Drosophila melanogaster: one gene and its partners. The protein of the gene in region 1 purifies or fractionates together with the protein of each later gene. This does not show direct contact. Each region holds a gene or a part of one and is shown in the gene's direction. Other genes may lie near its edges. The genes, in order: tra2, CG12769 and hrg.

Region 1 (9,089 bases):
AAGTAAAATAGATGGTAGAAAATCTGAAGGAACATCTTTACCTCAACCAGATGTCTCGAAGTCTGAAACTGCTTTGAAAGCAGCTTTGCCCAAGGAAACAGAGTTTCCAGTTCAAGACGCAGAAATCGAGAAAATGTCTAAAGGTCGCGGACACCAAAATGCGGTCAAAAACACCAAAACGGAACAGCCCAAATCGAAGCCCAAGACTGAGGTTCGTTCCCTGCAAGCTGAGGCTGCTACTGAGCTAATGGATTCGATGGACTCTCAATCAGATGTATCCGATATCCGCGCAACATTTCCCGAATCCCAAGGAATCTTCAATGTGCCAGGTCACATGACCCGAGCTATCAGCAGCAACAGATCACTGGCACCTACACCAACTCCCATGTCTGACAGTCAACGAAATGCTTCTAAGGAGCGCTTTACGCCTGTTTCGGACCAAAAAAAACCAATCAGGGAATCACAGACTTTATCAAAGCGTCGTGCACGAGGTGGAAGGAACCAGCCACTTGTTTCAAAAAGGAAAGCGGGTGAAGCGGAAGACGGTACAGCGGTGATCAATCCCAAGAGACCCAGAGAGATGGATGAAGAGGACCACCCACAACAGAATGATCATGTCCAAGAATCTGCATTTGCTGCGTTCCCAGTAAAAATAACAGCTGCTTCTTCTGTTATTCCCCAAGTAGTGCGTTCTACGGGTAATACAGTTCCTCAAAATATTAGTCCCCGCAAACTTTGCGTGAAAATAAATCGGAGGCCCTATAATAAGTGGCTTCGGAGCACGCAGGAGAGGAATGAAGAACAAGAAGGATCTCGTAATGTAACGTCATTACCACTGCTTGGTGAAACCTCGGAAACGGATTCAGCGGCGGAGTCGATGTCAGAATCAATTCTGCAATCCCAAGTACAGTCGGAGCCTGCTATTCAGCCACTGCCTGCATCCCAGCCCGATTCTTGTACATTACAGGCCTCAGATCTCCGAATAAGGGAAAGCTCAGCTCAACTTGCTCCAATTGCAGCTTATGATTCACCGGCAGCTAACGATTCATCGACATCACCCGCTTTAGACATCGCACCCGAAAGTGCACAGACAGCTAAAGCAACCTTGAACACTGCTCTCTGTCCATCGACTGAAAAACATCTTCCTGACGAACCAACGTTGCTGGAAAGTTCCAAGAAGGTTGCAGAACCGCAGAAGCTACAAACGTTTCAAGCCAAATGTTTGCCTGTGCCAATTCCAGAGGTAAAGTCAGAGCCGGAAGATATCATGGATGAGCATTCACCTAATGAGCCCATGCCTATGGTTGCTGCAGCACCAGCAACACCTCAACCACATGCGATTACGGAAGACGCTGGGCCCGACACTATTCAAGTCAACACCTTGGGTGTTTCCACTTCATCTAGGCCGCTTGAGTTACATTCAATTCCCTCCGCCAGTGACCCTGACGGAAACCCCAATGCCATTGGGCAGACCAAGATGTACTCATTTCTCTACCCGAAACGTTACAAGCAATCCTATGACGACGTCGGTCTAGACTTCTGCTGTCCAAATCTCGATGGACCAATGCGGGCTATTGATTTTACTCGATTGCATTCGAAGGCCGAGGTACCGGTGCTGGAAATCCCGCAGTTCCTGGTTATAACCACCAAGTTTATCTCTAAGGCGGATAAGAATATGCCAAGTAAGGTGCGGGCAAAGCTGGAATTACTGGACAAGTCGAAAGAACGGGATTCCAGTAAACTGACCCCGACGGCTACCACTCCGACTGCTGATCCCACCGGTCCTTCATCCTTTTCACCTGCTCCCGCTTCGGTTGGTCCGGCAACTCAACCGTTTCCATCGATTATACAGAATTTGCTATCGGCTCCCCTACCTGATCCAGGTCTATTTAATCATCCCACAACCGTGGACCCATCTACTTCCACTCCCGTAGTTTCAGGCAGTTCCTCTTCCACTACCATTTCGGCGGACTTGGATTCTTTAAGCAAACAGTTGCCACGTGGCACAAAACTGATCAAGAAGTCAGTGCAACAAGTGGCTACCAATCCCTCATTAGCCGGCACCTCGATGGTAATTAATGCGTCGCCGTCCTTTATTCAGTTACCTCCGATTTGCCCCAACGACAAGCAGCGCGTGGAGTTGCAGGCGAGGGTTCAAATGTTTGACTTGGTGCTCCAGACCCTCAGCCGGCGGGCAGCCAACTTATCAGTGGCCGAGCGACAGCGTACCATTGAGGAAATTGTAAGGACCAGCTCGTTAATGGCCATCGACGTGGATGTGGGTACAAAGCTTTTGGAAAACTATGTACATTACTTAAACAAGGCTACCAGCACAATGACTCCTCTAACCCCGGCCCAAATCAACTCGAGCTTAGGCGCTTCCACCAGCTCGACGCTTTCCAAAAGCATAGCCACCTCCGACATCCCACAGCAAGGGAAGAAAATATCTGCGGACCATGCCCAACAGCGGAGTTCTCTCCCCGCTACCATTCCCCTTTACGATGGGGGCAGGAACACACTTGGCTTTCCGTATAGCTGCTCGAAATCGACGGCAGGGCGAAAGTCTTCATATGTTGCCACCAGCACGCCTGTGAAAGCCTCCACATCCCAAGCAGCAGCAGCAGCAGCTCTAGGAAACGCTCAGCCAAGATCCACGTTGGGGATCCCGAAAAGTGTTCGGGAAGACGCTAGTCAGGTAGTTATTATTTACGACAAATATTTATGTGGTCATTAATAAACAATTTATTGTTCCTAAACAGTTCGTTAATCTCAACACAACAGTGTGTATGCCAGCACCAAGGACGAATGCCAAGAAAAAACCAGGGACTTCGGGCCCTTTAAAGTCGATGAATTCTTCACCAGCTGTGCAGAAACCGGCGCTGTGCAAACAGCAGACGGCGCCGGCAAGAACTCTGTCCAAGAGCACAGTCTCATCCGTTGCACGAGCGAAATCAACAGGGTCTTTAAGTGCAGTGTTGGGTGAGACTCCTGCTGACGAATTCGTATCCCCCGCCGGAATGAGTCTGAGTACCACCGGAAATCCGAATGTCTTCATCATTAACCACGCGGTGCAGTCAGAGGAAAGCATCCTGCCTGACTCCAACAGCAGCGTAGGGCACATGGAAACGACGGTGATCAAAGGCGAGCTGGATGATTCTGCGGAGATTATTATATAGCAGGGCAAAGACTATAAACCAGTTGGAAAGTATTCTAAGTTACTTTAGCACAGTTAATTAAGAGTTAATTATTTCGTTGAACGCAAAATCATAATTTTGTAATTCTGAAATGAAGAATTTGTTAAACCTTACGCAGCATCGTCATTTTTTTTTTTTTTTTTTGAAATAAATGGTTAAATATTTTATTCAGTGTGGGACTTTCAAGTAAATATCTTATAGTTATCATTGCATATTTATTAAGTATCCAAATAAAATATAAATATAAACATTCTAACATTTTTTTATATAAGCCGAAACGCATAAATCGTGTAAAATAAGAAATAAGAAAAATTACATTTCGTTCGAAGCTTTTGGAGCCATTGGCGAAATCTTAAAGCTCTTGTGAAATATTACAGAGCGATAAGTATAAAAGTTGCGCAGGGGAAAAACCGTTTCTATTAACAACAAATTTTTCAAGATGACAACATCTGCTGTTGAAGCTCCCAATAGTAAGTTTAGTTAAAACTTTACAGAGGCATATTATAATGATGCACATATGTATATAATAATCTACAGGTGCATATCCCGATTTAGAAAAGCGACTGGAAAGGTATTTGCGAAGTGTGTTTTGCCTAAAGGAAATCGATACTAAAAATGAGTACATTCCAACCGAAGTGGAGTACTTTGGAGTTCTGAGTTTAAGCGATGTTCGAGCGCCTCGCCGAAAACTGTGGTACATGTACTATGCGACAACAGATCAGGTGGACAAAACTGTGGATCAGATCCATCGTAAATATGGCCAAAAGAATATGTACGAGCTGTTCAGAAAACCGGTATATACAGGGGCTGGAATGCGATCCCGTGTTAAGAACCACTTTAAAGGGCTTAAGTGGCACGTAAAAGGAAACATTTTGGAAGCCCCGCTAGGTAGCTCCCTTAATGATGAGAAAGTGGTTAACACAATTGCAGATTTATATCAGAACGAAAGGAGAAGATACTTCGATTACCTTATGTCTAGGAGTAATCTGTATAAATCGTGTACATATCGAAACATAAATGCATAAAATATTTTCATTTATGTATAAGACTTTCTAGAATAAAGCTTTAAAATAATAAATGCCAATAAATGCTAACCAGTATTCTTTTAACGCTTGTTGAGGTAGGAAGGCAAAATTGCCGCACACTTATCAATGGGCAAAGCCTATGAATCACCTTAAGTTTTCATCTGATTATATTTCTTAATAGCAGGGAATATTAGCAACATGGACGATAAATTGGAAAAGTACTGGAGACGTCTATTTTATATGAAGTCAGTTGCAGAACCTACGTCGTTGGATGCTGATACGATAGAATATTTCGGAATATTCAGTATTGACGAACCAAATGTCGCTGCCCAAAAACGGTGGTACATTTATTATGGCCTTAGATTAGAAAGGTTAAAGGTTCTGGAAAGGATTCGAAAGAAATATGGCAATAGGAATGTCAGAGAAATATTTCAGATCGCCACATTCAGCGGAGTGGGATTTCATAAAGTCGTCAGAGAATATTTCTCCAACTTAAAATGGTTCACAAGCAGAAATCAATTGGAAGCTCCACTAAATAGTTATTATAATGATGAAAGACTAGTGAAAACTGTTTCGGACTTGCATAACAAGGAGCAAAAAAGAATCTTTGACTATATAATGATACAACACGCCTGGTTTGAGCGGTATAATGATCAAAAACCACCTCCTGCTAAACATTAAACTAACTAAAAACATCGACTTACAGTCGACATCTGTTGACTAAAAGCGGCATGTGTATTTGTTGATAGGGGGTATTATTATACATTTTACAACCTATTGGTCAAGTTAAATGATTTATAAAAATATGTCGAATAAAATATATACACACACAAGTAGCTTGCGGTTATAATATAGTAGTACATAATAGTATATACCTTGGAGTCTAAAGACACAGTCATCCGATCATCCTAATCAACAAACATAAACACCCTAGTTGTCTGCATTAATAGGTATTAAAAAGAAACAAGCGCATTAAAAGCTCACTGTTTTTTGATAGGCCACAGGGTTGCTTCAAAAAGCTCTTTTGTTGTGAAATTGGAAATCGTAAACAAAACGAAACAAACTTTATACAAATCAGTTGAAATCGTATTTGTTGGGTATTTAATAAGAGTGCGTAGGAAGTTAACACGCATTCAGAAGTCAGAGAAGCAAGAGTCACCTCGTTATTAAAATATGACAACGAATTCAGTAACTGATAAGAACACGGGTAATTAAAACGGCAAATTATTTATTTGGAACATCAACGATGATTAACAACCGATTCGCAGAAGGAGATTACAACCTGGATGAGGAAATCGACAGCCATTTGAGAAAATTGTTCTGTCTAAAACCAAAAGCTGAAACACCCAAACTCAATCCCTACATAGTAGAATTCTTTGGAGTTCTTAGCTTGACAGATCTCCGTGCCCCACAAAGAAAACTATGGGTCATATATCACGCCAAGCAGCCTGATCTGGACAAGACCGTTGATGAGATCCACGAGAAGTATGGCAAGAAGAATATGTTTGATCTGTACCGCACACCAGTTTTCAGTGGAGTTGCTCTGCGGGACAGTGTGAGAAAGCACTTCTCGAACCTAAAGTGGTTTACGACGGGAAATCTCCTGGAAGCCCCACCTAAAAGCCACTTCAACGACGAGCGAGTGGTGAAAACCATCACGGATCTGCATCATCTGGAACACCAGAGACTATATAATTATGTGATGGTGAAGAATATGTGGTCTATGCGGTATCGCTAAACTAACCTGTGATTTAGGATTAAATTTGTATATGACTATCTAAAAGCAAGAATAATAAATTGTACTATTACAAAATCCATATAACATAATGGTTTGCTAACCAATCAAATAGTATTGTTTTCTTGTAGTACAAATTTTGTTTATTTTCCTATATTTCGTTGAATAAAGTACATAATAATTATGCTGATTTAATTTGTTAAATATATTCGATAACATTAAATAAATTCCGCTTGTGTTTTTTTTTTCTAAATGGATGACAACGCCGCATAAGGGTTAAAGTGCCAATCGATAACGCACGTCCTCACCTATCGCCACCCCTGTTGAAGCGTGCGTCTTTCTAAACGCAGACAGAATAAATAAAACCTGCCAAAGGCTATCAATTAATTGGTAAACACTGATTGGGTGTGCAATATAGCAGGGAATCAAACCCTCAAAAATGGTAAGAACGGCAATCCAAATAGTGTGCACCCATTCATCTTCTTTTTTCGCCACCATTGCTCCGATAAGCGAAGTTTCGATAGGTAAGCAAAAAGCCAATGGATCGGGAGCCACTCAGTAGCGGGCGTCTCCATTGCAGCGCCAGATATAAACACAAGCGATCGGCGTCATCATCGTCAGCGGGGACAACTTCATCCGGACACAAGGACCGCAGGTAAATGTGTACACACATATGTGAGACGACCCTAAACGATACCTCTTTTGACATGAAGCATCGAGTAGTTTTGACTGGCAGTTTGGAAAAAAGGTTCAACTGTCATAGGGCCCTTTCATTTGGATTTGCCCCCTCAGCCGATTCAGCTGGTGCTCTTGCCAAGAAAGTTAAAACCAAAAATCATTCAAGCCGATTTCATTTCATTGGAAGAAACCAACCAACCAACCAACCAACCAACGAACATCACTATGTAAGAACCCACCGAAGCAATCATTTTCATTCTACGTCCAACTACCAAAGAATTTGGCCGAAAGAGGTCGAACCCAACCGTAGCATTTGTCAAGTCACACAAATTTTCCAACTGTCAGTTACCAAGGCGTGCAAGAACCACCCGAAATCCACACGAAATACAAAACTTTTCAAGACCCTCAAGAACGAACCGCAAGATAATCTTATTTCATTCCATTCCACATCGAATCAAGGTCTGACTACGATTACTGTGGCAGTCGCCGGCACCAGCGGTCCTCCTCTCGCCGACGCTCCCGTTCGCGTTCCTCCTCGGAGTCGCCGCCACCGGAGCCGCGTCATCGCTCCGGACGTTCATCACGCGATCGCGAACGAATGCACAAGTCTCGCGTAAGCCATTCTGCCGATTAATGCCTCCTTTCAATCCTAAAGATCTTCGGCGTTTCAGGAACATCCACAAGCAAGCCGCTGCATAGGAGTCTTTGGACTGAACACAAATACCTCGCAGCACAAGGTACGCGAGCTGTTCAACAAGTACGGACCTATCGAACGCATCCAGATGGTGATTGACGCACAAGTAAGTCGGTTTTCGATAAGCATTGCTAAGATATTTCCTGCCTGAATCCTTTTGTGTAGACAAATCCGCTGAAGCCCTGCAGTTTTGTCTTAATTTCTGGCTAGATAAAATTTGATAGCGATTGTGAGTTTTTGTGTATTCCAAACTAAAAGCTAAAGGCTTGCTGTCACAGTGGCATATTGTTCGAAGGAAATATTGATCTCCCGAAATCAATATGTGTTCAGTTGTTAGGAAAGTTCAAGTTCACAAACGTAGATTAACCCTTAATAACTTCTGACATACAGACACAGCGTTCCCGGGGCTTTTGTTTCATTTACTTTGAGAAACTCAGCGATGCCCGCGCGGCTAAGGACAGCTGCTCCGGAATAGAAGTGGATGGTCGCCGTATTCGCGTCGATTTCTCTATAACCCAACGGGCTCATACCCCAACTCCGGGTGTGTATTTGGGTCGTCAGCCGCGTGGAAAAGCTCCACGCTCATTTTCACCGCGTAGAGGACGCCGTGTGTATCACGATCGCTCCGCTTCGCCCTATGACAACTATCGTGATCGCTATGATTACCGCAACGATCGCTACGACCGTAATCTCCGCAGGAGCCCTAGTCGCAACCGTTACACTCGCAACAGGAGCTACAGCCGTTCACGCTCTCCGCAACTACGTAAAGTTTATTCCTCCGTCTATTTAATCAAACGTTTATCCTGTATATTTTCCACGATTAGGTCGAACTTCATCGCGCTATTAAAGCGCCTGGGGAGGAGGCTACTTCATTAACTCGTGCTCCTAAGTTCGCCCAACTGGATTGTGTCAAACGGGCTGTAAAGGAGCATACGACTGAAATATTGTTTTGGTGAATCCTATCCCATCTAATGCATTTGGTTGGCGAACAGTTCGCAACTAGATTAATTAATTATTCACCCAAAACACCCTTTAATCATAATAATTCGGTTACTATTATTAATGCTGTATAAAAACATAAATTGTAAATATCAAATCAATTACCAACATTACATACAGAGGTCCGCATGGATTGTGATATGTATTTTAAAGGAACTGCAGCAAACTGATAATGATAACATTAAACTAATTTTAATTATAAATGCAATTGTGCAGCAGGTACAAAATAAAGATTAATTTGTACAGAAGCGACGATTAACTTGTGAATGGGCGTTTTATTGAATTGGTCGTACATATCATTTACTTAAGCTTCTATAAATTTCAGTTTAATTAGGATTAACTAAGTTTGTATGGGAAGCAGAACCGGTCATACACTTACTCAATGGATCTCCACAGGATACAAATGCATTCTTTGGAAAACGCTCAAGTAGCACTGGGATTTGCACTTGCCGACGCTGAAGTAGAGGCCTCCAGGGATGTACCTGCTCCGCTCGATGTCTGTGTCGCTCGAGAGGCTTTGTAGGCCAGCTCTAGGGTCTGGTTAATCGTATGCATGTCCCCCTCTATGCTGCGTGCCCAGTTCTCCACGTCGCCGAGATCCTTTAGGGCAGTGCTGAATTGGTCGATGAGCTGCAGCCATTGGTGGGTCTGCTTGGCGAAATTGGTGGCGCCCAAGTGCAGTTGCTTTGCCTCTGCGTCCAGCCGCTTCTGGTTCAGGTAGGCCTGAGCCACGCCCACATTTAGGGTGTCCACCAGAGACTGAG
Region 2 (9,396 bases), 6.5 Mb from region 1:
CAGTTTTATCAACGTTTGCCGTGAATAACGCCTTTCCATGCATTATTCATACACAGACACACGCGCGTACTGCCGCACACAAACAAAAGACCGCTGTCGCCATCACTTTTCCATCAGGTTTCGCATTTCGCACGTACACCATGATATGGAAATTTGACCACGGGAACTGGGGAACTGCGATCCGAGACCCGGAAACTACTCAATACCAATTGCAATGGGAATCGCGGTGACTGACATACACAAAAATTGATTTATAAACTCCTTGGCCTCTTCGCTTCGGTTTTTCGCTTTCGCTTTTGTGCTCGCTTTTCTGCATCTGTCCTAGCGGCATCTCCCTCGCACCCGCACCAGCGCGGGCTGACCAGTGTTGCCAGGTGCGAACAAAGCGCAGCGGCACTTGGCAAGGCCGTTAAATTAACCAACAATCGGAGCACAATGATTGGATTCGTTAACGAGGTAGCAGGTCCTAGAGAGGGCAAACAGCGTTAGCTACAATATCTGCACAAACGCACAAATTCACGGCAGGACTCGGATGGCACACATCACTAGGTACGCTCCGGCACTTGGCAACACTGAATGCGAGGGCATTGAAACCGAATGAAGCGCACAAAGTGGAATGCAAAACCGGACAAAGTGGCGTACACTGCGCCGAAATAAGCGAAATGTACGATTCGTTGTTGGCGAAATTTGTCCAATATGTGACATACCCGGCAAGGATAACGCACTCCCAGTTGCACATTGCGGGGCAAACGGGATATATAGCCTTAATAGACCCAGCCATGTGCACATACTTCGACGCCATTTCTGCAACGCCACACTAGCCGACTCTTTCGCTCTTATGTAAACCAAGGGACCCAGTAATTGACGACGACCGCCGCTCCAGACAGCGGCCACTATTGAATTTTCAACCGAGTTTTTCGCTGACAAGCCCCCGGGAGACATGTCGAAAACACGTTGCACAGGTGGGGGGACACTTAAACTAAACTTTAACACCTCAGCAGGGTTCCGGTCACGGCTTTAAATTGGATAAACAAATTTTCAAAACGGAGTCACACTCAATACCTGCAAATGCGCCGAGAAACGCACTTTTAATGTGACCGCTCGTTAGTCGATCGATATGGCTTTATCTGGGCATGCAGCCCTGGACTCAGAAATCTAGCGGTGCCACGAATCAGTTTTACTAATTTTTAAATTGATAACATTTCTATACCATTATTAAAAGGCTTCAAAAAGCTAATTTATCCAATTTTCCATTAGCTAATATAAGCAGCTTACCTATTAGAAGCTGATTTCGATCTTAAATATGTTGTATGCTCCTTGTTAAAAGGTTTTGAACTCGTATTAAATCAAGTGGTATATCGATACCAAATGAAAAGTTGTTGGCATTTGCACACCTCTATCATCAACAAAACATACTACTTTTGAAAAAAAAAACAAACAAAATCAGTTCATTTACCAAACTATGGACAAAATATTGCATTTGATGACAAAACATTAAGTATATTTACCCAGGCGAGCAATGAGCACACACCAATGCCCCAAATATTCGAGTGACGACGACGTCGAGATATTGAAAGATGCAATGGAGGAGCTGCAAAAATAAGCTTGAAAAGATCCTAAAAAACCAAAATGACTTTTGCAAGGTGGAACTGGACTATTTTCCCGTGTATGATCCCGACGAGCTTTCCAATCTGGATGCGAATCTTTCAAAGCCGGGCAATAGCACAAAACGTAAGCCTGATTATTGGGGTATTACAAACTTGATCTTTTTGTTTTCCAGGCTCATATTATTCACCGCATCCTGAGGCCAGAAGGTCGAATAGAACCGCTGAAAAACAATTTGTCAAAGATGTTCAACTACGATATTCTCATGGCTTACAACTGCGACGGTGAGCTCTCAGTCAGCAGTCAGTCATCTCATACAAATATATTAACGAAACTATTTTTGGTGAGTTAAGTATAGCTTTGTGCAGATTTAAAGCATTCATTTCGTTTACTAAATTAGGTGTTGCTATTTATAATTTGGCGTAAAAAAAACTATCCTGGCTTATAAGCTAATGGGTCAATTTAGTTTATAATTACTAGTCATTCTAAATAACTAAATTATATTTGCATGGGATATTTTTATGCTTGAAGACCGCGATGGTTCCTTTTTTATAGTGCATCAAACTTTCCATATCTATTATATTATTATATCTTAAGTTGTTCGTATTTGTGAAATTAAATTAGTAAGCAGGAATATTTTTAGAATCAGTACTTTTAGTTAGTTGCGCTAAAATTTAAGAAAACATTTTCTGGTAATCTCTCATCTTTAGGGGTCCTGAAAACAGACATTAAGGCGACGATATCATAAAAGAAACCACGACTTACGGAGGAGGATTAGACAGAACCAAAAGTGTGAGCCAGATTCTGATTGGGATTAGCCGATAAGCTGGTATCAATGCTGCATTTCGTTTATTTGCAACGTTTATCTCAACGAAAGGAATATTAAGCCAAACCGGTTTTGGCTCTCTGCAGTAAGTTGTGTTCTTTCCGCTTTAATGAGGTTATTTTCGGCTTGCATAGCGCCTCGAAACGCCAGTCTTTTAAACCGTAACGTTCTGGTCGACATCCCCTTGGAAAAATATGGATCAAAGATTTCACCACATGTGGCTTTTAAGTGGTTCTAATAATTGTTATTATTTACCATACTTTTGTTTTCCATTGCAAAGCAATCACTGATTTATTTATTTATTCGATTTTTAAGTTCTGATTTCACCTAATTAGTCATTTTTTAAACCTTATTGTAAATTAACTGACGCAATAAAGAAAAAAATGTATTTAATTCAAAAAATGTGCATTTGAAGAGACGCTTCTTTCTCGTTTCTAAAGGTATTATAAAATGTTTATATATATATATATGGGTTTATATATTTTATATTTGCATATGGAAAGAGACCATATACCATCCATCGATATACCATCCTCAACATTCTTCAAGGTTTCGCAATCATCGTAAAGGAATTGCAAGATTTTAAAAAAACGCGATGCCCAAGATATTTTGTTAATGGATACTTAATCGCCAGTGCCACTGAGACAAGTGATTCGAAATGAAAACGACGAGTGTCGCTGCTCTTGGTGAAAAAGGCAACCTGGCAGGGTTCAGTAAACTTGTTTCCAATTTGAAAATGGTTATGCCAGCCGGATAAAAACATTTTCCGATGGTTTTAGGCATTGCAACAACAAGTACCAGGCCAGTGCTCAGTTGCACAGTCGGTGTAGCGGGCCATAAATGAGAACTCAATTAGAACGTTTACATTTCTGTAAGAAACGAGTTGCTGCCGCTGCTGCTGCCACTGCTGCCTGCCGCCGTAGTTGCTGTGGTACATTATTTTTTGGCCTAAATAGTAGGCCTTGAGGAATCGGAATCGCTTGAGTTGTTTTTGTTTCACCGAGCGCCACGGCAGAGCAGCCGGCAGCGACGCGGGCAGCGGCAGAGCGTCGGCCGAGCGGGAGATACCGATTCCGAATCGGAATCCGCTCAGAGTGGATTCGTCTTTTGGCCCATTCGGATGTGGCCTCGCATGTGGCGCGCGCGTTGTCCACTGACAGTTTTATTATTATTATTGTTGTTATTATTATTATTATTATTTGGGGCCCAAAGCTAACTCTTGCCCTTTCGAGCTGCGCGTAATTTCGATTTCGATTTCGGTTTGGTTTCGACTCCATAATATCCATTCGGCATCTCGGCGTTCGCGTTGTTTCGAGTGCATCCACATCCACATCCGACTCCACAGCCACATCCAAATCCATTGCGATTGTTGTGTTGTGTTCCAGTTGCCGTTTTTGTGGGAGGTTAGTTGGTTGAATAATCCGCGACTCCGCAGTGTACGCAAATTGCAAATTGCAAAAGCAATGCAATGCCCCGCTCCATGGAAGTCCCCATTGAGAAACATAGATCCAAGAACTGCAATATGCCCTAGTGTATGTGTGTGTGCGTGCCGGAGAGCGGGAGAGCGCACCAGTGCCTGTTTGTGTGCGTGTGCCTATGTGTGTGTGTGTGTTTAGAATGCACCTTGTGGTATTTTGAAATCTAAAATTGCCAAACACCCAGCGCGTTTCTTTTTTTCGAGAGCATTGCAAAAGACTCCAGCTGTGCTAATGCTAAGTTGAAACGAAAAAAAAAACAACTATCAAACCGAAGAATCGAAGAACTGACAAGCTAAAAACGAGAAAAAGAAACTGAAAATCAGAAGCCAAGGCTGCCGCTCTTTCATTTTAGCGGGTATGTAATTACGAAACTCCTGCGAGCGCCTGGCTGGCTATTTCGGATATCTGTCGGATTGCGACAGATTTTCGTGGATTTTCCGCCATGGATTAATGGGCGCCAAGGGTACAGCCAGCTTTCCCACACGAACACGCACACACTAACGCGTTTATTGGCCAACATACAGTCAAAATTCCATAGGTGGCCACACCATCTGCCACTTTAATAAATCAAGTACTGAAATCACATAAAGGTATAAGCAAACGAGTATTCAAAATCATAGTCAGAGTCAAAGAAACATTTTTGTATTTATCAAGTTTATTTAATTACCGGAAATTGTAATTAAAGAAGCTACACGAATAAATCTGTTTTTGGGATAGGCCAAGTCTGAAGTTTTAGTAAAAATCCCTTTACAAACCAAACAATAGTAAACCGATCAAACAAACGCATTTACTTTGAGTTCCCAGAATTCAACTTCGCGGAGTTGCACTGTATATACCTACGTCACGCCCACCTGATTTCAGTGCAATCGCGTTGGCCCAGTTTACGGGCATGCTCCAAGACAAAATACACTCCTACAAGGTCGATTGCCTATGTGTGCTGCTGTTTCTGTTGCCGTTTCTGCCTTTGCGGCTGTGGCTGGCGTTTTTCTATACCAGTTTCTAAACCTGCCGCAGCTAGTTTCAATTTCTACTGGGATTATCTGCTCCGGCTTCGGTGGCTGCGACGCCTCCGTCGCTGCTGCAGGTGGCGATGGCGATGGCTGCAGCTCTCTGGGAGCTCATTACTTGGCCCGTCCTCTTCTACCCGCCCCTCCTCATCGTGCCACGTCCACCTCGTCTGTGTGATTGTGACACAGAAACCAACTAAGAAGTATGTGGAAATCTCTTGGCTGCATCGAAATCAAATCAGAAACTTAAGTTGGTCTCGCCAGTCGGCGGCTCCGCGTTGAGTTTCCATTTCAGAACATATGCGCGTTTTCGCAACAGTTTGCAGCTAGAAGATTGCTGCCTGCCCATTCGGGCCTTTTAAAACGGCAGTCATACCTGTCCATGTCCGATTTGGTTAGAAGTTGACTAAGTGGATCCCACGAAAGAGCACTCCTCCCTAAATGTTGTCTGCTGGCTGTATTTTGAAACTTATGGATTAATGGATATTTTTAAGACATTTTAACTTATTTTGTGAAAGTCCACCGATGTAATAGTAAAACAATTATACTCTTAAATTTAACTGACTGCAAGATATAAGAAGTCCGAAAATGGGTTAACAGGAATCTGTCATTCATAAAACTCTCGTTTCGGCTTAGCTAAATTTTCTAATGAGTGCCACAAAAAGTTTCACTAGCTAACTTCTTTGTGTCAAGAACTGGGTTTGTGCCCAATCACGCTCATTGAAGGAAATCTTGTAGATATCGTATAGTATGGTTTTCCCAAGTTTACGAATTTAGTTAAAATAAATTATAATGTGCATACTTACCAGCTCCAAAATCTGCTCTTAACACGGATCATACATATTTTCTATTCAGAAAATGCGTCTTAGAAGGCTTTACCGTAGTGGCTTGGCGTCAATTTCGTTCATCTCCCTCTCCCCTTATCGATTCCCAATTGGTTCTTGCTGTGGGATGCTAGAACTGTGCTCTGCATCCCTGGTTCATTCCCCAAAAGCAGCACACGCACACAGTGACGGGTGGACAACCCCTTTCCCATCGCCCACATCCCACATCCCACCACCCACCACCCACCACCCACAACCCAACGCCCACCACCCGCGCCCCTTCGCCCGTACAGCCACACTGCAGTGTGCTCAATTCGGATGGACGGCTGTGTGTGTGTGAGCGAGTGCATCTCCCCCACAGCAACTGCAAACTGCAAACTGCAGACTGCACGAACTGTGGTGCAATAAACGACGAATGGCGAACGGGACGGAACGGAACGCATATTGCGTTGGCGGCGATAGCTTGGATGTAGTTGCTGCTGCTGCTGCTGCTACTCCCTCAGCTCCCCCTACTCCTCCTCCTACTCCACCGCCCCCTCTGCTACCCCGCTCCCTTGATGATGACAGCCGAGGTCGTAGGCAAAGACGACGGCATACGCTCGAGTAACTGGCCCACCACTACAAACAGCCAAACCTGTTGACCTAATTTCAAATTCTGCTGCGTCTTGTTGTTGCTGCTGCGGCTGATCTGTGTCTCTGTGCCATCGGTTGGTGTGTGTGTGTGCATAAGTGTGTTTCAGTGAGTGGCGGCTCTCTGGGCGAATGTGTGTTGGTGTGCCGGAGAGCCAAACGATTGGCAAATCTTCGCCAGTGGTGTTTGGCGCCAAGGGGGATCCACATCCAAATCCACATCCACTCTTCATGGGAGAACATGAAAAAAATAAAAGGCCTTCAAACTCAAGCATTCCCCCAAACGAAGATCTTCGAGCATTAGGTGGCTGGTACACATTTTTGGAAAATATGTGGTAACTTCAGTTGTACCAATGATTAGTTGTGCGAGATGAAAAATAAAATGCTTACCAATTTTTTAAATACCTATCCTTTACTCTACATTTAATGACCAGAAGATACAAAGGCATTGCAAGCTTAGTATCTCTTCTAGTTCTAGTTTCTAAGACTTTTGTGTTATTCACAGTAAATTATATCAAGAAGTATACATAGTAATATACTACACCAAGCTTTTAGTTTTTTAAATAAGACATCGAGACAATGGGACTGTCACTTTATTAAGTGCGCTTTAATTTTATGTGAAATAAAACTAAAGTAGTCATTTTTGTCAGTGCAGAAATAATTGTGGCTAATATCTATCTGATCTCCATCCCCAACCCTCCGAACTCTGACTCACCTGAAGTGGTGACCCCCCTCGGACGCCTGCCCTGGCATTTCCGTCCCAAACAAAACGGAGACAGACACAGATACGTACTTACTTATGTATGTATGTATATTGGGATTCGGATACCGATGCAATTGGTGTGGGACTTCCACATCCATTTCCACCAGCTATTGCAGTTTGGATTCAGTTCGGTTCGGTTTGTGTCGGTGTTTGGGAATTTCGGAATCGGGATTTATTGGCAGATACCGGAATGCTGGGATGCAGTGGCTAAAAGCATGCATCGTAGTGTGTGTTTTGAAGGGGGTGTATCCCACCTTATTTATATGTTGTATTTGTTTTGCGTCCCAGTAACCACAAGAAATTACGGTCGCTGCCACAAGCTGCTGCCTCTGCCGGCGTCGCTGCCTGCTCCACTTGTCGCAGTGACGAAACGTTCGTGCCTGTGTGTTTGTGTGTGTGTGAGTGTTTGCCAGTGTTTGTGTGCAGAGAAAATCAAGTGAATCAAAATGAGCGTATAATTAGGTCAACACAACAAAAATTATACGCTAGCCACTTAGCAAAGAGAGCAAATCGGCAGACTCTCTCTCTGGGAATCGGAAGTGGGGCAGAGCATGGTTGCTGGTCCCATCAATTAGAAATTAATTCACGCGGCTAATGCTTCAAAATTGCAATTGCAGTGAGAGCAAAAAACGTGCACCTGCAACAACGGGAACAACAGCAGCAGCGGCAACAACAACAACTACAGCCAGGGAGAGCGGGTGTGAGAAAAGCATAAACAAAAACGGGACATGCGCTGCACTTGCCGAACGGGAGAGAGTGGGAGAAAGAGCGTGGGCCGTTGTATACAGAGAGTGCAATTTTCGCTCAGCTGCTTTGGCAGCTACATGGGAAGAAAAGTTGCTTAAGTAGATATTCGCATATCAAAGGTATTAAAATTTAATAAATAATGTGTAATCATGTTATTAGTGGGATTTGCTTAATAGCAAAAACTTATCTTAAATGCTTTAATAAAAATATATTTTTGCAAGTTCCATAGTTACTGCATTCAAGCCTGAATACTCCATTGACCTTTGGTTTTTCTCAGTGTGCCAGAGAGCGCTTGTACACAGAGAGCTCAACGCTCGAATCGGCTCCCACTGAGCTATTTTTTACCCCACGTTTTTTCTCGCCCGTTTCTTGATTTTCTTGCGTTGTTGTTGCTGCTGCTGCCCGTTGCTTGTTGGCCGTGGCAAGTGTTTCGCAATGAGTGCAGGCCAGGCCAAAACCAAAGCCGAAATGAAATCATCGCCGTGCCGTGCTCTCTGGCATTGATAGAGGGGGGAAATTCCTGTTCCACTTTCTATTATGGGAGTCGCGTCGTCGTTGTTGTTGTTATTGTTGTTGTTGGTGGTGTTGGCGTTGTTGCTGCAGCAGAAGCAGCAGCAGCAAAAGCGGCGGCAAAAGTAGCAAAACAGCACGTAGCATAAAAGTGTGTCACCATGGAAAGTGGTTTTCTCTCTCCCGCTTCTCTCCTTTTCGCTCTGTTCTTGTTCTCATTTCGACGCACATGTTGTTGTTTTGTTTTGTTTTTTTTTTTTTTGGTAATGCTTCATTGATTTGGCAAGGAAGAGGGGAACAAGAACAAAAACAACTCCATCGACCGACTGACTCATTTTGTTGCGTGACGAAAGCCGATCTCCTCGCCCATCCCACGCTGGAAAACCGGTAGAAAAAAAAACAACGCTGCTAAGGTCAAATCTGAAATATGGTCTATTTTGCATGAAGATCCAGCCTTCGAAAGTCAGTCGCCTTCAAAAAGATGCGCCGCCTTCGTTTTCAACTTCACTTCCACCTTGATTCCCCGTCCACATCCAATTCCGATTCCAATTCCGACTCCCATTCCGCTGTGGATTCACCACTGGTCAATGCAATGCTAATAAACTAGCTTTTGATTTAAATTTGAATGGGAATCGTGCGCGACGGCCTAAGGCTATGCAAAAGACTCATTTGGCCTACAAGCGAGCGCACAGTGGCTTTAAGCCAGCGAACTCGAATTGAAAGGCCAGTCAGCTTATTAGTTTAAATCATTTACAGAAAAAGTTTCTGTAGAATCCTTTAGTACGACGTACTATGTTTATCTATAGAATGTGTGGCTTAGTTATGTTTCTAATAATTCTTCACAAAAATTACACATACGCAGTGTTAACATTAAGTATCCGCCCAGTGAGTTAAGTTGTTTTAAGTAGGATTTCTTAAAATTTGCAGAGAATTTTATAATCTAATATAAATCATTTTAAGTTAAAGAGATTGGATTTTGACTCTTTCGACTTCTTTCTAATGATAA
Region 3 (12,493 bases), 5.1 Mb from region 1:
CGCCGTGGTGAACTCAAAGGAGCTTGAGTCATGCGTAGTCAACTTATCTATTTGCTATAAACACAAAGAATCCCCCAATTTTGGGAACTACTGGTTTACTGTTGACTTAAGAAGAAGTCCGACAATAAACACAAAATAACTATTCGCTACACGAGGACGACCGTCATTGAAAACTTTATCCAATCTTACAAACTATATAAAAAGTTACATCTTACACCTTAGTACCGACATAATCTGGATATAAAAGAAACATTAATTCTTTTGTTTTGTATCAAAAACTAATTGATTTATTTGCATTTTGTTAAAACTATGCAAATTTGAATATTTGGTTTACAAAATAATACTTTGAGTTCAAGTTGATGGTTTAAACAACCTGGGATTACAACGCACTTAAATCACCACACGTACGAGCGCTTATAAACTGATGGGTTGTTTCTGTGGGATGCAGTATGTGACATTTTCTAAATGTAGTGCGAGATTCGGCTGAAGATGAGCTAGCAAACTAGATGAATAGAGTAATTATTGTTTAACCTAATACAATTGTAGGATGAAGGCCTGACTAGATATAGATACATTTTATATTTATATATATATATATATATATATATATATGTATGTATGTATATATATGTGTATGTATGTATATATATGTATATGTATGTATAAAATGCAATTCGTACTGATCGGTAAGCGTTTGTAGAGTGCAGCCGCGTGCTCTTGGCGAAGCGATTGCATCTTTTGGCTTTGTGCAGTTTACTTTCATGGTTTTTGGCTACAAAAATACTCTTTACATACGGGCACATACACAATGTATAATTAGAGCCCCAAAATGGACCAAGCTACAGCCATGCACTTCGGGTGTGTGATTGTGTATGTATATGTATAAATATAATTTGGTTAATCTCATAGTAAAGCCACTTAGCGGCATCTTTCACCAGCGGTTCGTATAGAACTGATTGATGCCAAGCACATGCTTCTCCTCATGGTACTTTTGAAGGATATGTGTGATGACCGAGGTTGTGTCGTTGTCGCCACGCCACACGCGTATCGCATGTTCGTTTTCCAGGATGCCCAGAAATGCTGTAAACGTATGTGCAATTAGTTTCGATTTCAACTGTTGCTATCTTAATTAGATGGACATACCCAAAAAAGTCTTTGGATTGCTTAGGGTCATCTGGACTTGTGGCATTTCCAGGATCACCTTTAGGATGGGCGAATCGGGCGCCAAGCCTTCACGCAGTTCAATAACGCTACCCGATCGATTGTCGCACAACCATTCGCACGCGGACGCCTTGTTGTTGCCAGTTTTCTTCAGTGCCGCGAGCACTGCCGTCTCCTCGAAGCCCATTTCTGTAAGCGATTCCACAATCTCATCGCTGGGAGGGGAATCCCGGTGGCTGTAGATTCGTACAATCTCAATCAAGGCAGCAGTGTTTTCAATGGTTTCCTTTAAAAGAAAACGGTTGTCATTAAAAAGCGATAATCTAATTCCTACTTACATTATTGGTGACAATCGTGGAGGGTGAGATGGAAGATAGACTGTGCTGCATATTCATGCCCGGCGGTTCCTGTGGATTTTCCTCGTTTTGGTTCTGTATTAGCCACTCCATCGTGGTCGAGTAAATGCCATTGTGTGCTTTTAAGGCAAATGCGGCTAGCTCCCGCTTGAAGCCCATGTCCACGAGGCATTGCAGCGTATCCGCTTGCTGATTTCGGCGATTGATCAAACGTTGCTTTAGCATAGCTATCAGGCGTGGAGCATAAGGGCCAGCTCCTATAACCGCCGCAGAAGCTTGAGCCAAAGAGATCAACACCTTTCGCACATCGTATTGGATCTGGAAACGGAATAGGATTAGAATAATCAAAGGAGTAGCCAAGAATTGTACTCACATTCGACTGCTGAAAGATTTCATTAATATCGATGGTGGGCAGCTGGTTGCAATTGACGGGCACGTATCGGGTGGCGCTCTCCACCAGCTGCTCATTTGGGCCAGGAACCTCACGTATCCGTGAAACAGTCTGCGGCAGAGTATTGCGTCGTGGGGAGAGTATGAAAGTCTCATTGTTGCGAACTTTTAGCTGGGCCAGCGTGTCGCCCTCGTTAAGCTCGCCGCCGAAGTATTCCGCCCGATAGAGACGGTATCGCGGATTAAGATGCCGCACATCTGGGGCAAATAGCTGGATGGAGTCGGGATCGTCGCTCAGTTCCAGAATCACCTCACTCTTCAGCTCGTTTAGGCGCTTATTAACGTCCGTTTTGAAGATAAGAACCCGAGAGCTGGGGCAGATTACCCGCACCAGGATAGATTCACCTGGCCTGCTGGCATCGTCTGCCTCGCCAGAAGTAGAGCTACCTGGGCGATTTGTATGGGCTGATTTCCTAAGTGGATTCCGTTAAGAATGGACTTAATTAAAAGATTAGCATAATACCTAAGCATTACTAACCTGAGAAACAAACTGCGCAGTTTTTGCATAGTTTGTTTTAGTTGGATGGGTAGTGACAAACCAACGGAGAATTTCGAAAGACAAATATTTGTTTCGGGTGAGCACTTTGAAAAACATAAGCATATTCGTTCGGTTTGATAACTTACGCATTAGCCTGCTGTTGGTGAGTGGGCGTGGGCGAGTCCTGTGGCACCACCTTCTGATGCTCAGCACGTTCCTCTCGTCGCTGCAGCTGTAGCTCAAGGTGAATGCGACGTCGGCGAGCGGGCGATGGAGTCCTTAGGACGCAACTGCCCCCGCCCACAAGGGGCCGCGAATTGGAAGCGGATATCCCGCCATCCGTCTGCGTTTCAGATTCCGCCGTGTGGACATTCAACGAGGATCCGCTCAGGCTCTCCGCATCGCTGGCGTCTGTCCGCTGGCTGTGGCTATGACTGCTGCTCCGAGGGCTTTCGTCAGCCGGAGAACCACCGCTGCGCTTGCTACGCGCCAACCACTTGGCCCGTTTCTCGTTGAACTTCTCCCGCATCCAGGGTATCATCTTGGGTCTGCAGCTAGGTGTTTGTTACATTTTGCGGCACTTTTCGATGGCTATTTTGCATATTTCTCGCAAGTAAACAGAATCGATGCGTTATTGCAAAAAAAAAAAAAACGATTTTTATTTTTGTAAAGTCGATAGCAAGCAGCTGTTTGATGGTGCTGCCAGATAGGCCATATCCATGGGGAATACCCCTAATCTTTATAACGGCTATTTTGACATGAAAAACTATTTTAAAATATGTTATGTGGCTGAACTTTATAAATATATCGTGATATGTACATATATGAAGAAAACTATGTTATTCCTTATCGTTAGCCAATAACAATAACAGGAAAACATTGGGGTTAAATACTTTTGTTACTTTACTGCAATAAATAGTAGTTACCCGAATATAGTAATAGAATTAAAGAATTCATTTTCCAAAAACTATTAGTAATACAATCTAAGTGTCTTAATGGTAAATTGGTACCTGGTTAGACCCGTCATATAAAACCCAAACATACTTGAAATCCCAGTTTGAAATGGGTTTTCAAATTTCAGGTAAGAAAATTGGGTTTTGAATTTACCTACACCAAAGGTGCAAAAAGTGACATCTGTCGCAGATTTCAAATAAGCAGATGGCCAGATTAGGTCCCAACTGTAAAAGAACCAATAGTAAATCCTATGCCCTCAGCTTATTTTACTTAAGGCGGTATCGCTTGCAGATGACTCTCACTTTTATTACTTGCGAAACGAATCTGCTTGATAATGAAATAAAATGGTGCTCATACACATTATATTTAAAACCAATTTGCTAAAAATCATTTAAAAATTCTCACTAAAAATGTCCATTCACAATAGGCATACGTAAGCAGAGAGCATGGAAATCTTCCCATCCCTAGCTACTCCCATTGGCTCATCTCTATGCGCCGCAAGAAACGATAACGATTGCCACAAGCATCCAATCGATTGCCACACATTTTAATTATTGCTAGAACGCGCAGGGGCTTAAAAGTTAGTAAAATATGTTTGCCGCCCACTAAACGCCACAGCGTCGATCCCGTCGTGTTATCAGTGTGCCCCCGTCACCTCCGAAACGAAACAAAAGTGGGCGGAAAGCGTTTGTGTTTGCGTTTTGGCAAGTCGACTACTGGCATTTGTATATCGGTGTGTGCGTGTGCGTCACGTAGCATAAAACGCGAGAGTTTCTGTCCGTTAAGCAGCAGTGGAAGGTGGTGGAACGGGAACGGAAAAAGAAACGAAAAAAGAAATGTGAAGAGTGCGGCAAAAAAGCGAGGAAGACGAACGTGCGAAAAGAGTAAAAGCCGGAGCGACAACAGCACATGAATGGGATACACTCTCCTGCCAAAAGTTCTAACAAACAAACATACATACATACATATGCACCACTCACGAATGCAGCGGACAAACAGCACGACACGCCACACACACACACACCTTCAGATATTGTTTGAAGCGGCGGCACGGGAACAACAAAAACAGGCCAAGAATCTGAAGAATAAGCGCAGGTAAGCAAAAACAAGCAGAGAAAACTTTTCCCCTCGTGTGTGTATGTATACGGCGCGTGCCTGTTTGTGTGGGTGTGCGTGAGTGCGTGCGTGAGAGCACCGTTTACCTGTGTGGGAGGATTGTCGTTGGTGAGAGGGGGGTGGTGCAGGCGCATAAATATTCGCTTTCTTTGTTTATGTTTGTCATTGTCACAATTATTCTGCTACAAGCAACAGCTACGGCAACCCACTCCAACCGCTAATTTATTTGCCAATTTCTTTTACGCATTTGTTTATATGCCCGAAAGGCTATCCAGTGAACCAGTGTGCCCAGCTGCTTTGCGAAATTCATTGTTATGTTTTTTGTATATAACGGCGCTATCAGAAATATCTTATCGCACATTACAATTTGCATTTACTCAGCGCGAAAGTAAATTGTAATTGTCAATTAACTGTTTTGCTACACAGGAAGAAAAGGGTAATTTCAATTTAGTAGTAACTGTTGTATATATGTAGCCCTTATCACGTGATGAATGTGTATCCCACAAATATTTAGTTCAAATATTAGGTGATTCACTTTTTAAAAAACCGCGTCGTCATCAGTTTGGAAACGCCGTACAATAATTCTCACTTTAAGAAACCCTAATATTTCGCAATCCTTATGAGATTATCATAGTCCGAACAAACCTATTCAATTTCAATACGATCCGCTCTTCCTTAAGAATTTTAAAACCAAACCTTAGAGTAATGCTTTAGATGTCATACTAAATGTATTATTTTCTTTTCCAGCATTTTATTAAGCGCAGTTTCTTAAACAGAGCCACAAGAGGAGGTGTCGCATATATATGATTCCATTTTGTCTTCTTGGAGAGCAAACTTAAATATAATACCACATACATTTTAAGCCTAGATAGGTGAGTAAATCGAATATAGCGATTCCGAAAGGATCAGATAATAACCGTTTAAAATTTCAATTTTCAGGACATAACTTTAAGCTGAAACGAAGGCAGACAGACAACATGTGGAATTCCGAACCAACACATCGCCAGCACCATCAGCACAATGGAAATTCTACCTCGGGCGGACCGCCCGCCAAGCAATTGGGCATGACCTCGGCTATCAGTCTGGCCGAGCCACGGCCTGAGGATCTCCAGCGCACTGATGAGCTCCGCGGCTCACTGGAGCCGTACAACGTCTTTGAGAGCCAGGACGAGCTAAATCACCGTATGGAGATCCTGGCCAAGCTCAACACACTGGTCAAGCAGTGGGTCAAGGAAATCTCTGTCAGCAAGAACATGCCAGAGTCAGCCGCCGAGAAGCTTGGCGGCAAGATCTACACATTCGGCTCGTATCGATTGGGTGTCCATCACAAGGGTGCCGATATAGATGCCTTATGTGTTGCTCCGCGAAATATTGAGCGCACCGACTACTTTCAGAGCTTCTTTGAGGTGCTCAAGAAGCAGCCAGAGGTAACCGAGTGCCGCTCGGTGGAAGAGGCCTTTGTGCCCGTCATCAAAATGAACTTTGATGGCATCGAAATTGATTTGCTGTTTGCCCGTCTGTCCCTAAAAGAAATTCCTGATGACTTTGATCTACGGGATGATAACTTACTGCGGAATCTGGATCACCGTTCGGTGCGCAGCCTCAACGGCTGTCGTGTGACGGACGAGATCCTGGCCCTGGTGCCCAATATTGAAAATTTCCGCCTGGCACTGCGCACTATCAAATTGTGGGCAAAGAGTACGTGTTATTATATAAAATTCTTATAAATTAAATTCTAATTGTTCTCATTTTCTCTCTTAGAGCACGGAATCTACTCAAATTCATTGGGTTATTTCGGTGGTGTGACCTGGGCCATGTTAGTGGCCAGAACCTGTCAGCTGTATCCCAACGCTGCGGCTGCCACACTGGTGCACAAGTTTTTCTTGGTCTTTTCGCGCTGGAAGTGGCCTAACCCAGTGCTACTCAAGCACCCGGACAACGTTAATCTAAGATTTCAAGTAAGTCATAAAAACTTATCCAAATAGTCCGGTTCTCTAATAGATTTTCCTATTCTAGGTCTGGGATCCGCGTGTCAATGCCTCGGATCGGTATCATCTGATGCCCATTATTACGCCCGCATACCCACAACAGAATTCCACATTTAATGTGTCCGAATCCACCAAGAAGGTCATATTGACCGAGTTCAATCGCGGCATGAACATCACGGATGAAATCATGCTCGGTCGCATTCCGTGGGAGCGTTTGTTTGAGGCACCTAGCTTTTTTTACAGATACCGCCACTTTATCGTGTTGTTAGTCAACTCGCAGACGGCTGACGATCATTTAGAGTGGTGCGGCCTTGTTGAGTCAAAGGTGCGTCTGCTAATTGGCAACTTGGAGCGAAATCCCCATATTGCACTGGCCCATGTCAATCCCAAGTGTTTTGAGTTTAAGAAGGGCCAAAGTGCCAACAACTCACAAAACAACAGTGGAAATGAAGACGATCTGAAGCAGTCGCAGGGAAACCAGTCTGCTGTGACATCGGCACCCTTCTGCTCCATGTGGTTTATAGGCTTGGAATTCGAGCGATCGGAGAACCTTAACGTGGACCTCACCGAGAGCATACAAAACTTTACAGAGCATGTGATGATGCACGGCGTAAGTAAAAAATCGAAAATAATGTTTATTCAGTTGCTTATTACTTTTTTAATCTTGCAGGTTAACATCAAAATGCTTAAGGAAGGCATGACCATTGATGCCCGCCATGTAAAGCGCAAGCAGCTGTCGCTTTATTTAGACTCTGACTTCCTAAAACGTGAGCGCAAGTCAATGGAAAGTCACAATAATTTTAATAACACGCTATTGGCTAACCGCAAACGACTTTCTACGGAACTGGCCCAATCGCAGGATCCACTGCCCCCAGGCCAGCAGCCATCAAGTGGAAATCGCGGTCGGGATAGCGGAGCCAAGATACAAAGACTCAGCGATTCGGTTAGTGGTATAAAAAAGATATCAATTTAGAACGTATTAATTAGTCGAAACTTTGTATGTCTAGCTGACAGAGGAGAACTCGAATGCCTCCAGCGATATGGGGGCAGGGACGCCCACCACGCCCACAACGGCGCAATTAAGTGCGCCAAGCTTTAAGAGCTCTGGCAAGAACGGCTCCGAGATAGACGTTGTAGAGCAGGAACCGACACAGCCTCACAACAATGGCAATGCCAGCAGCAACACAACCACAACGGAGGTGGCATGTTCGTGACAACCGCCAACGCTACATCCGCATCCGCCACATCAGCAGCCACCGCCAGCGCCGCCACAGCCACCAGCTCACCATCATCATCATCAGAAGTTCCGAAAGAACAACAACGCGGCTGCGGCAGCCGCCTCCAACAGCATTTTCAACCAACGCTCGATTCTGCATGCCGCTTCCAGTCTATCGGCTGCTCTAAGCATTACCGGACATAAGCGCAAGCAGCAAACGGCAACATCAACAACCATGATCAGCAGCAGCAACATTGCTCACAGCAACTACACCCAGCATAGCACTCACAACAACAACGGCGGTGGCGGCGGCAGCCACTACAACAAAACGTACTACATTGATGATGATGACGAGGACAACAATCAACCACTTTTGACACCTAACAACCAAACACAACAGCAACAAAAAGCGGTCAGAATAACAGCTACATCGGCGTCACCAGCAACATCGGTTCCGGTAGCTGCGAGTGCCGCACCACCGGCACCGACAATTTCTTGTAAGTTGCCTAAATGTTTTTCCTCGTTATCGTACTCTCTTTTCATTTTCCCCAACTTCCTTTGACACGAGACTGTTTCTGTACTCTTAAGTTGCCTATCTACTTACTTTTACGTATTCTATAACCAGTATTCCGCCAATGTGGAAACAATCTAACAAAAACATACCTCTAATTTTTTAAGTTTTAAAAATTCAATTTACCTAGCCCGAGACTAAGCTCAATAAACGATGATGAAAATAAACTTTTTAAAAAAGAAAAAACACTGAACATTTTTCGTATTTTTATTTTCCAAATTGTTTACAGTGAAATTCGTTTGGTCAAACATTTTAGGCTATAGGAATCTGCAAAACAAAATGCGAGAAACAAACCTTGCTTTGTTCAATATTCAAGAAACAATTTCTAAAAAGAAATAAGTGTAAAACATTTACATTTTATTTTGTTTATATTTCGGGTTTTATTTTTTGTTTGGCTGTCTAGCTTTCGTCAGTTTTAATGAATTCATGGCCCTTAAAAAGCATTTGTTAATGTTTGTATTGGGTTTTATAAGGGACAAGCTAAGGAAACTGTTTTATATAGTAGCACAGATATTTCGGTTCTGTGGGATTTTACTACGATAATAACACACGTCTCATCTGGAAATTAAGTAAAAGATGAAGGTATTGTTAAAAAGATTTTTTGCTGTTAATTTGATTTTAATTGTTTCCACTTTGGTTGTACAATAAACTCAAACTTTTTACCACACCGAAAATTACGAATGTTTTGTTTGCATATTCTTGTTGAAGTATTGTAATTAAAACATATATATAAAACATACATATATTCCAATAACCGTTTTTATCCTTTTTATTGTCTTTGCAGTGTAAAAAGTTATTAAACATACCATTTAAGGATTAGTTATCATAGTTATTATCTCCCTATTGATTTCCTCGGCATTGATGCCTGAACATACATGAAGCCCACAATATTTTATACAAAACGGTGAGACTAATTTTGAATTAATGGCCACTGAAGTTTATAATTCGGTTTTCCATTCATTTCAGGTTTCTATCATACACCTTCTACAAACATGTGTTAAACATTATTCGTTCAACCAATTAACATCGCCCTATCGTCAAATCGAAATTGGCATTCGGAGATCAACAATCGCCGTTAAGACAAGAAAACATCATGACTTGAGGCGATTTTTAGCGGCAGAGAAAGCATTTCTCTAACATTTGTCTTAATAATATTGTTGTACATCTTTTTTACTTCCCCACAGCTGGTTTGAGGAGTGCGTAGAAGAGAGAAGTGTGGAGAGGAGGATGTGGATAAAGATGGATGGATGAATGGATGATTGACAGCAGCGGACTGACAAGATCCTGGAGAAGATTCGCTTTGAAAACTATTTACAAACTAAGAAGATTCTTTTTAATTTTTCATCTTGTTTTCAATATTTGTTTTCTTCTTCTTCTAGTTGTACAACGCTGAAAATTTGAAACAATTATGTTCGTTTTTCTAAGAAATGATATCTGAAAAAAGGTAATAACAAAAACATATAAATGAAATGAAGATATTGATTTAATTTTACCAAATAAACCAGAAAAATGAAAGCGCAAGCTAAAACACCAATGTATCAATGTTTTAATTATTTATTGGAGATGTGTGATGGATAATATATTTGGAATACAAAATATTTGCACTGAAAATGTTGGGAACTATTGGATATAATTAAATTGCTATAGAAAAATGTACTATTTTGCTAATGACGAATAAAGGATGAGTAGTTTGTTCCGAAGAAGCTTAAATTAAGAAAATAAAATATATTTATTTCTGCAAGCATAAATCAAGAAAATTTTTGAATTTACATTTAAATGAAGAGGAATCACAAATATGATAATCATTCCTTGTCCCATCAATTTTCTCGTACGAAGACTGATCATGATCAATGTCTAACTGAAATTTAAACAGGTTGAGTGAGTCCAAGATGTGGTTGCCTTTAGTTAATGGCAAGTTGGTGTAGCGGATACTTGGGGATAAAGTACTCCATGCGCTGGTTGCGTCTAATGGCGCACTCCTGGTACTCCAACCAGTCAGTGTAGGACTCATTGTGGCACTGCTCCGAATCCCCTTTCTCGTAGAGCTGCTGGCGAAGGGAGAAAAAGAAGGGGCGCACTTTCTTCTTTATGCTGTAGACGTGGCGCATCAGCCACTTTTCGACTTTAATCTCATTGTAGATGGTCGATCTGTTCAAGCAGACGGTGGTCAGATTGTCCATTTTTGGATAGTAATTACGGACCGGTTTCGGATCCACAGTTATTCGAGGTATTTCATGCCTAGCTACGGCGAAACGGGTGTCGAAGAAATGTCTACCAAAAGTGACGCCCCAAGCATTGTATTCCTTCTCCCCATATTGGTTTGTAACGAATTGTTGAATACTGACGGTCAGCTCTTTGGGTGGTTCAGTTCCTTTTCCTCCGGCGGCACCTCCTTCAGCCGCTCCTGCCGCCGCTGGAGCTCCATCAGCTGGCGCCGCAGCTTCAGGCGGAGGTGGATCTTGTGGAGAAGCAAATAGTCGAATGCCACTTTTATGGATTTTCTTAGGAGCAGTAGTGCTTCCTCGGGTCACAGTAATTGGTGGCGGATTAGTTTCATTGTAGCCAGCTCTACGGTGATAATCATCCTGTAGTTTCTTTGCGAACACTCTGAAGCCGTCGGATTTCTGCTGCATTTGGTTATTGGAGCTTTGATCCACCTTGAAAATATCGAACGTCGACGGATCTGGTTTTACTTGCCTTGGAGCTCTCTCCACCGGAACATCCTCTGCCAAGACGATTGGAAGTGACTCCAGATCGGTTGTAGCCAATGGCAAGCCAACGACTCCTTGTACCCATAAAATCTAATGGATTATAATATACATAGGTGCTGCAGTTGGTGGCTCGACGCACTCACGATTATCGATGATATTCCCAGGAGGAATCCTTGGAGGATTGCATACCAATGCATAGTGTTCTATGTGATATTTTAGGGGTATATCCCTTGTCTTTAAAGTGTGATTCAACAATACGAATGTAAGAAATAAGCGTTTTCAACAAGGAGCCCATAGTGACTTCAATTACAAAGAAACTTCGATTGCTAACTAGGCCGGGAAAGATCTATACAAATAATAGTTGGTAATGGTAAAAAATTTACAGTCAATATTGAAAATATATATTGTATCATGGAGGTTCGTTATGTTACTGTATACAGTAAAGGAGTTAACTACAATTTAAACAGGTGGTTTGTTCAAGAGCCATTAATATCTCAAGGATTTTAAATACATCGTGTACAGTCGCCACCTATACAGTTTAAGGTAGTGAAATTTTCTTGACTAATCCTGCGTGATACCTAGGATTTCGTGGGACGACACGGGGAACCCGACGGTGATCTGCGATCCCGTGTCCTTTCTGGTCCTAACCTAATTGCAGTTCTGCGAAAATTATACGCGACACAGCTGCGCGTTTTTCCCCGAAACCGAGTAGCATTAATCCGTTTATGGCCACGGATTAAGTTGCAAAATTTTCACTAAGGTCGTCGCGATCCGGGACGCGAATTCGCGGAACAGCCCCGACCCTTTCAGGTAACAACGCCCGCCACCCACAGGTAGGTGTTTATAGGACAAGAAAGTGGGTATAAAAGATCTAGCCGCTGGCAAGGAAGTCATCAGTTACCAACGCATCTTCAAAGTGTAAGGATCCCGCAGTGAGAAGCGAAGTCTTAAAGTTTGGAATAGCAATTATACGACAAACCTTGTTCGGTTTTGCCAATTTCCAAGCCAGCACTGGGTAAAGTTTGTCCTATAATCCCGAAACGACGACCAGCTAATTGTGAGCCACCTAAGGTCCCGATCCTGGGATGCATCTTGTGCAGTTATGTTTCAATCTCACATCACTGGGCAAAGTGTGTCTCAAGATCCTGGCCACATCGTCGCAACTTCAAATCAATTAAATCAAAAAATCAAGAGTAAGTGATATTGGGCACTCCAGTTTTAAAATTGAATGGCGAATGTCGGTATGGTCTCTTTTTCAAAGAAAGGTTTCGATTAAGCGAAGTGACTAGACCGAACACTCGTGCTATAATTTTAAAATATTCAACATGCTCAGTAAAGTTGCGAGTGAAAATTAAAATATTATGGAGCGGTTGCAATTAGTTTCTTTGGTCGTCCAGCCTTAGGTGATTTTTCCGGTCATAAAGCTAGACAACCATTGAAGTTCGTTGTGGCATTAGCAGCACCACGAGTCAAGAAATTATGTTAAGTGATC

The links.
Region 2: the proteins of tra2 (region 1) and CG12769 purify together in Drosophila melanogaster (affinity purification with mass spectrometry, with the first as the bait; one large-scale study listed by BioGRID). This does not show direct contact.
Region 3: the proteins of tra2 (region 1) and hrg purify together in Drosophila melanogaster (affinity purification with mass spectrometry, with the first as the bait; one large-scale study listed by BioGRID). This does not show direct contact.

Annotation. Positions count from the first base shown.
Region 1 is NT_033778.4:14,601,504-14,610,592, reverse strand, and holds tra2 (transformer 2), read left to right. Parts: upstream 1-6,255; 5' UTR 6,256-6,396; intron 6,397-6,454; exon of another isoform or gene 6,455-6,464; 5' UTR 6,465-6,493; coding exon 6,494-6,609; intron 6,610-6,667; exon of another isoform or gene 6,668-6,857; coding exon of another isoform or gene 6,858-6,859; exon of another isoform or gene 6,860-7,091; coding exon 7,092-7,245; intron 7,246-7,303; coding exon 7,304-7,432; intron 7,433-7,468; exon of another isoform or gene 7,469-7,607; intron 7,608-7,687; coding exon of another isoform or gene 7,688-7,699; exon of another isoform or gene 7,700-7,716; coding exon 7,717-8,089; intron 8,090-8,150; coding exon 8,151-8,173; 3' UTR 8,174-8,589; downstream 8,590-9,089. Other genes in the region: Su(var)2-HP2, read left to right, coding at 1-2,695, 2,760-3,176; CG33468 (uncharacterized protein), read left to right, coding at 3,634-3,664, 3,732-4,219; CG33469 (uncharacterized protein), read left to right, coding at 4,418-4,900; CG12868 (uncharacterized protein), read left to right, coding at 5,393-5,426, 5,488-5,957; Blos1 (biogenesis of lysosome-related organelles complex 1, subunit 1), read right to left, coding at 8,749-9,089. UniProt on the Drosophila melanogaster protein: Required for female sex determination in somatic cells and for spermatogenesis in male germ cells. Positive regulator of female-specific splicing and/or polyadenylation of doublesex (dsx) pre-mRNA.
Region 2 is NT_033778.4:8,059,678-8,069,073, reverse strand, and holds the start of CG12769 (uncharacterized protein), read left to right. Parts: upstream 1-3,519; 5' UTR 3,520-3,834; intron 3,835-9,396. Other genes in the region: CG17977 (uncharacterized protein), read left to right, coding at 1,630-1,731, 1,781-1,948, 2,316-2,324.
Region 3 is NT_033778.4:19,661,248-19,673,740, reverse strand, and holds hrg (hiiragi), read left to right. Parts: upstream 1-3,908; 5' UTR 3,909-4,494; exon of another isoform or gene 4,495-4,623; intron 4,624-4,672; exon of another isoform or gene 4,673-4,951; intron 4,952-5,262; 5' UTR 5,263-5,387; intron 5,388-5,454; 5' UTR 5,455-5,492; coding exon 5,493-6,213; intron 6,214-6,276; coding exon 6,277-6,473; intron 6,474-6,531; coding exon 6,532-7,113; intron 7,114-7,173; coding exon 7,174-7,446; intron 7,447-7,510; coding exon 7,511-7,717; coding exon of another isoform or gene 7,718-8,216; exon of another isoform or gene 8,217-8,481; intron 8,482-9,074; coding exon of another isoform or gene 9,075-9,079; 3' UTR 9,080-9,194; intron 9,195-9,256; 3' UTR 9,257-9,822; downstream 9,823-12,493. Other genes in the region: Kpc2 (Kip1 ubiquitination-promoting complex subunit 2), read right to left, coding at 932-1,080, 1,144-1,447, 1,500-1,835, 1,891-2,380, 2,446-2,457, 2,592-2,986; CG11018 (uncharacterized protein), read right to left, coding at 10,192-11,091, 11,145-11,198.